2 linked regions of the Drosophila melanogaster genome follow. The protein of the gene in region 2 interacts with the protein of the main gene of each other region in a pairwise test. Each region holds a gene or a part of one and is shown on either strand. Other genes may lie near its edges. The genes, in order: CG42597 and MFS18.

What was found.
Region 1: the proteins of MFS18 (region 2) and CG42597 interact in a two-hybrid assay, tested with the Drosophila melanogaster proteins (one large-scale study listed by BioGRID).

Annotation. Positions count from the first base shown.
Region 1 is NT_033779.5:22,063,837-22,067,407, forward strand, and holds CG42597 (uncharacterized protein), read right to left. Parts: upstream 1,508-3,571; 5' UTR 1,425-1,507; intron 1,361-1,424; 5' UTR 1,358-1,360; coding exon 857-1,357; 3' UTR 768-856; downstream 1-767.
Region 2 is NT_033779.5:4,446,880-4,450,810, forward strand, and holds the start of MFS18 (major facilitator superfamily transporter 18), read right to left. Parts: upstream 1,757-3,931; 5' UTR 1,549-1,756; coding exon 1,481-1,548; intron 1,415-1,480; coding exon 1,027-1,414; intron 973-1,026; coding exon 109-972; 3' UTR 1-108. Other genes in the region: CG15439 (uncharacterized protein), read right to left, coding at 2,637-3,484, 3,894-3,931.

The sequences.
Region 1 (3,571 bases), about 18 Mb from region 2:
AAGCTAGAAATTTGAAATAAGCAAGCAGGTTCCAGAGACACGCCCACAAAACCGAACAATTTCTATAGATATGTCAAAAAATACTATTGAACTTTCTTAATCACACACCAACTATCTGAGTAAAGGGTCTAAAATACTAGTTTGAAAAACTCAACTTTTCTCTTTTATCTCAAATTTTTTGAGTTTCGTGTTGTAGGATATACAATACATTAAGTAAACATAAGTAGCGCTTTTTATTACATAATGGCCCAAGAGAGAGTCAATCGCACATGTGTTCTTCACAGAGTTCGAGCCACTTTCTATGTTAATTGTTTGGTGGCACAAATGTTACTAATTACACCCACACCTTTAGCGCAACTGCAGCTTATGTTTCTCGAATTTTCTTGCCTAAGGGATCACGGATGTCCTTTTGTATAATAACCGTAAGACATGATTTGTTCGAAATCATTTTCTCCAACGGTAATTATTTCACTCAGATTCCATTTAAGCGCGCCCAAACAGTTAAATGTCTTACAAGTTTCCGCTCCCACCCGTGACATATTTAATTGCCCTATGGCTTCGAATCGAGACATTAGAAAAACCTGTTGTTCTTCTTAAGTAAAGGTCGTATGCTAACATTTACAAAGGTGCATCGCATCCTTTTGTGAATATCGAGCTTCATTAAGCATTGGGGTGCATAGATATCAAAGACTATATTTGACTATTTCACTGTTAAAAGAACAAAGAGATGGGTACTTGAAATTAGAGATAACCAATTTTTTTTTTTTGAGCACCCTTTTAATAAAAAAGTGCACATAAACTAGAAATGGTATCCCAAATTAATAGAAGGAACCGAAAACGATGTGGGTCCTTTTGCTTATTTAAAAGATTTCTGTTTGGACGAAGGACGACTTTGTTGTGTGATGATTCTCCAAGACTGTTGTGCCATTTTCCAAACTTTGGCCGGTCGATTTGTAATGGCACCCACTATCACTAAAAAGATAACTCCCAATAAAATCGTGCCGATCTCCTGGAAATTAGTGTTTGTACGGCTGCCCAGGCCCAACCAATTGGTTATAACATTTATAAAGTTGACGAGAAGCGTTTCCATGGAAAGCCATACGCCCACCATCAAAGTTTCGCCAATAAGGATGGCGATAATGGTCTCAAGGATAAACTTTCCCCACCGCGGAATGTTACTCCAGTGCGTGGGTATTACCTCTGTGTCGCACAGCAGATCCATCACTGATAAATAGAATAACTGGCTACCAAAGACGGGGGTGTCTGCAATTATACCCGGATCTAGATGTATGAAGAGCGTTGTGTGGAGCACCATGTGCACAACGAAGGCCAATAGAACAGGCGTGGGACTGGTCATTTCCTTAGAAAGGGATATTGGTTAACTATCGGGTATTGCCTGTATATAGACGTTAGAAGTGACTTGCCTGCGCGGTCTTGTAAATATGTATAAGTTACACAAATTTAGAATGAATAAGGTAAAAAAAACAAAACACATTGTTTTGTTTGTTTCAATTTAAAATGCTTGCTGGGTCGGAGAATAATTCCTGTATTGCGTTGGCAAGTTAAATGAAAACTTTAGGGACTTCAAAGTTGAAAACCAGCTGAACTCGTGGAAGACTAAAGCAGATAAAAAATTGATTGATTTTTATGAAGTCTACCTTACCTTTACCACTACCTTTTAAAACGGATTATACCTACTCCCTTATCTTTTGTAATATGTAATGTCAATATCTTTATGCGAGAGGTTAGTACGTGCTTCATTGTTCACTTTGCCTGTAAAAATTGGCTTTGGCACTGAATGTTTAATTCTGTCAGCTAAAAAATGCATAAATATCATTTTAATTAGAAAATTAGCCGAAAATATGCAGCTCACGTTAATCGTATGACGTCGTCGTCGTTGCTATAGTTGCAACATGGAAACGAAACTGAATCGCAATTGAAAACTTAGGTGGAGGGGATACGAATCTCATGCAATATCCAGAAGATACATCCCCAACGCACTCACCTCGAATGCGGAGCACCACTTCTGGCTCCACTCCGTGCTCCTAATACCGGAAATCATTTGCATTTTACTTAAATTAGTGTTTCTTGCAAACAATTGCTGTAGAATTATTTATATAGCAGTACCATTTAATTGTGCCGCCATTTTAAATTCCAATTAGATATCCAATGGAAGTCCGGCCAAAAGCCAACATCACTAAAAAGAAATTGGAATTTTTATCAAAGCAAGGAAGTCGTAAGCTCACTTTGATGAAGTTTTGTCATTTAGCCAAATAAGAATACGCGTACTGCTCGCCAGACCCACACAAAATGGTTCGCTTTTGTGTGCGCATATTTTTTTTCTCCTGCTAACTCAGTCACCTGTCGTGGATTCTAGCTTATTACGGTTTTTTGTGCTTATTGAACAGCCGCCACCAAAAATTCCAATATCAAAACTCATATTTGCCGATGTCGAGCGAAGCAAATTGAATGAGGAACACTGAACAGCTGCGAGAATTTAACATATTTGTAATATTACAAAAACTGCCAGTTGAATATCCGGTAGTTTTAGTATTAAAAAAAAGTTCATATAAATATGATTCCTGCTGAGGCCTACCTATGATTCGCATTTTTGAATAATTCATCGAATTTACAATTAAACTTTTTATACCCGATATTCGTAGAGTAAAAGTATAAAAAAATGGTTGAGCGCTTACGGACAAGACGTAAGATCGCAAATAAACTGGAGTCTGGTGGCAAAACAGCACATGCTTTTGAGCGATTATTGGCAATTCGCACCATTAAATTGAGCAAGGGAAAATGTTCCGAAGACAGTGCAGAGCAGACGAAGTCTAGTGATGATTGCAAGGCACAAACGCGTAAGGATGTAAATATCGAGGTCAAAGAGACTTATTCCGGCGATTCCTCGCCTAACAGTGAGAGCGAGAATACAGCCCAAAACGATCCGCAAACGAACGTTGAAAGCGATGAACGCGTATCCAACCTGGAACAGCTGAGTCGAGCAGTGTTAAAACGGAACGACATAAAGAACTTACTGGGTAAACCTATTTTCGCGGAGGCTGTGATTGGATCCTTTGTGCGGCTAAATGTTGGAAAAGTCTACTCCATCTACGAAACTATTGCTCTGCATCAGGACAGTAAGGACTACCGGGTAGACGGTAAGCGTACCAATCTGATCCTGGTCTTGAGGTGCGGTTCCGAAAAGCGTTATTCACGTATAGACGTGGTTTCAAATCAGCCAATTACACAAAAGGAATTCTTGTTGTGGTTGGGAACCAATCTACGCCATCGATGCACTTCACCAACGCTTAATGACAACGCTTCCAAATTTTAACCAAGAAACATAAAAAAATAATAAACTTATAACATTTTCGAAAATTGTGGCCGCTGCGGCTTTTCTGTGGATTGTAGGCGTTATGGTGGACGCCGAGTGGGTGTGACGTTAGAGTGGGTGTGCCCAATATGTTTTTGGTATATCGATACCCGGTACTCAGCTAAAAGTATGAACGAGATATTTTAATACTTTTTTGGAACAATATGCAAAAAAGAAGATAGAATGCTATAGTCGACT
Region 2 (3,931 bases):
GTGTATACTAAATAATATAAGCAGCATGAACATAAATCGATCCACTCCAATATACCCCACACATAAATAAATAGGTTAGTTTTTCTGAGGAAAGTGTGCAAGAGAATGTTAAACGATGGCTTCCGCCGAACCAAAGACTATAAATATGATCCAGCCAACCAAATTGATGCCAGCAGCGGCGCTGAACACCATCGGCCAGCTTTGTGTGAGCTCCAGAATGTGTCCGGCCAAGTATACTCCGAGAAAGCCAGGAATCGCGCCCACTGTGTTCATCAGGCCAAAGACGCTGCCCGAATGCAGAGGTGCCAGGTCTTGGGGATTCACTGTTACCGCGTTGTTGTGGAAGCCCGTGCCGCCAATGATAATGGTCATGCAGATGAGCGCCGTATGGAAGTCCGAGGTGCGGCTCATCACAAACAGGGCCAGATTCTGAGCGGCAAAGCAGCAACTTTGGATGACCTTGCGCACCGTCGTCGTGTGCCATTCGCGAGCGAGTAATCTGGTGGTCAAGTACTTGGCGAATAGCGTGCACGGTGGCAGGGCAAGCCACGGGATCATGTTCACTACCCAACCCTTGGCGTGTGGAAAGCCGTCGTGGAAGTATGTAGGCAGCCAGGAGAGTAGCACGAAGAAGCAGTTCATCTCGCAGGCGTGAGTCAGCACACAGGCCCAGAAGGACAGCCTACGAAAGTATCGCAACCAAGGCACGGCTGACGTCTCTGCCGGACTCTTGTTCGCGCACAGTCGGGATGGCGTGGCAATATTAATGATTCGGTTTCGCTCGCCGGCCATTGCATAGTAGCGCAGCACCAGCGCCCATGCGATGCCCATCAGTCCTATCACCCGGAATACATACGACCAGCCGAAGTAGTCCAGCAGAAAAGATCCCATAATCCCAGTCAGAAGAGTACCTAGAGCCGATCCCGCTGTGAGCAGCCCAAAGAAGCTGCTTCTCTCATTGGGGCACAAATTCTGCAAACGATTAAGTTATAGTTTATGTGTAAATTTATAAAATTAGCTAAGCACCTGACTGGTTAGACTAATCATGCTAGGAAAGTGCACGCCCTGAAGAGCGCCGTTCAGGATTCGAATGGCAACAATGAAGGGAATAGCGTAACTCTTGATGGAGCCCGCCGTCCAGATGATAGTGGGCATTAGGAATGTGATAAGCGACCAGCCGATTGCGGCAAACAGAATGACTCGCTGGCCTCCAAAGCGGTCGCTGAAGTAGCCGCCCACAACCTGCGTGAGTGTGTAGCCCCAGAAGAAGGAGCTGAGCACAGTGCCCGAGTCGGTTTTGCTCCACTTTTGGGCGGATGCCACGGCCGGCACAAGAAGTGGCATAGTGGTGCGGGTGGAGTACAGCATACAGGTGCCCGTAATAAGGGTGATGAACCAGACACGCTTCTCATGCCTGCAATGATCCGACAAAGGAGTTGTACTTGGGGAGGTTTAGTGAGCTGTATGCTGTGAGACCCACCTGGTCCAAATGCTCTGCGTGTCCACCAGTTCCCCGCGCAGCAGAGAATATTTTAGCTTCTCGTCCATGGTCACAAACTGGGTCCGGAACTATTGCCTTTCCTTCACGTCACATATCAACTCCAACTGCTTCGTTGCTTGCCGCTGTGGCATATTTTACTGCCCTTTGTTTACTTTCATTCACGTTGGCGACTAGACACGCCAAGTATTTGCGCCTGTTAAAATTATGTTTTTACGTGGCCGTTTTTCCAACAGCCGCTGGACTAGAGCATAGTGCGGCTTGGTCGACTTGGCTATAGACTTCACTTTATAGCATAATATCTTTTCAACAATATTGTATTTAAGCATAAACATATATCATTTGTAGTTCGAGCTAAAAAATCAAAACATAAAGAATATATTTCCTTTAAACTGACTATAGGTTGCAAATATATAGATATAAATTAACCTAAGTACTAAATTAATGTTCTCTTCTAAGCCCGGTGTAGGGCATACCGAAAAGTACATCGATTTCGTTGTTTATATGATATCGAATGCCGTGAATCGATTATCATTCGATAGCACAACATGTGGTTGGGCTCCTAACAGCACATTTAACGGAAATGCCAGTGGAATGCCGATAAAATACAAATCAATTGTATTGGAATTGGTATTTGGTACTTGTCCATAACTCTGATTGTTTTCAGGAATATGATGGAAAAATGCAGAGTTTCCTTGCTAAAACACCAAAACATGGTCAACATTCGTGGTCAGATCGTTAATAATTTGAAAATTGTATAATTTTATATGTGTATTTAAGAATCAAAAATGAGATGGAATGCTGGTCATGCTAAATAATAAACAACAATGTTAAATTAATTTCCGTTTTCGTATCATGTCGGTTGAACGTCTCATGAGTCCTTTTCGGGTTCCGTCTTTAATGAAATCCAATTCGGTAATATTTATATGGTTTTTATTAATAAATGTATTTATAAATATGTTAAATAACTGAGCCGAACAATTCAGCGAGTGACAAATTACAATTTGGTCAATATTTTATTTTTAATATGAATGTGTCTTACTTATTTTATTTTGTGTATTCAATTTTAGTTTTGTAAATATCGCACGGACCTAATGATATTAATGGTACAAAATCTACGTAAAAATCATGTTTGCTTCTATTTCTTGGGCAGTGCATCCTCGTCCGTGGGATCACAGTCGGCACAGTGCCAGGAGTAGCCGCGAATCTTGGGCGACTTCTTGAGCGGCGGATCGAGGCAGGCGAAGTGATAGTGCCGGTGGCACTCGTCGCAGGTCACCACCTGGTTGGACTTGCCCGTCTGGCTGCACACGCAGCAGCTGATTTCCACATTAGGCTTGGCGTTGGACACCCGTGGTCGACCCACACGCGGCTTTCGGGGACTTGCCTTTCGTGGACTGACCTTTCTTTTAGGTGATGGTGTGGGGTTGACGGAAGCGCTGGCCGCAGTCTCCTTGGGCTCCCGAACCTTTTGCGGTGACGCTGCCGGCAGCACGATGGGTGCCAAGGCTTGCTCCGCTCCCTGGACACTGTCCTCGACTGTTTCAACTGAGGTGGGGCGCGAGGCTTCGTCCACGGAGCGCACCGCATTGGCCGGCACGTAGAAGTATTGAGACTCCGGCGCATCCTCGCCGGGTAAACGCAATGCCTTGAATATAATCTTAATGGTGCTGCCCGAGGTGTTGCCCGCGTTATCCAAATGGGTGGAAGACTCGTCAAGGTGGGCGCGCTTTTTTCGCTTCCGTTTATGCTCCTTGCCGATCGATTTCTCTGTATCCGACGACAGGTTGTGTTTGTTTTTGTGCTTGTCCTTGCGCTTACCCTTGCGCGATAATTTTCCACTGGAGTCGTCAATCGAGTCCTCACAGCCAGATAGGTTAATCACGATAGTATTGGGCGTGGGCAGTGTTGGAGCTGCCGCAGGAGTAGCCGCCGAAGCGGCAACAGGAGCAGCATCAGTTGTGGGAGTGACATTTTCGGCAGGAACTGGCGGAAGAAGATCCGTGACATTAGTTTTATTATTTATTATTAAACATACTTGAATTTGCGCAAAAAATTTTTTCTTTATTATTTGTTAACAAAAAAATAATTTCTTGTATTAAATACCAATTGGGTATAATTCAATAAACGTAAACAAAGATCAATGTTTGAGATAGTTTTGACTTTCTTTGTACAGGCCAAAAAAAAAACAAGTGTAGTGATAATCAGGATTAAACAGAAAACCAATTTCTTCATAAATCATAAATTTCTCTAACCATCAAGCGAAAAATTCCGTTAATTCACGCATACATATTTACACATTTGCATTTAAAAAAAAATAAACCAAAAACTCCAAATCAGCAATAATAATCTAAACAGGTATTGTGCCAAATCGAATTCTCAACAACGAACTCACCATTAATTGGTGTTTTACATGGGGATTGGAGTTTAGGC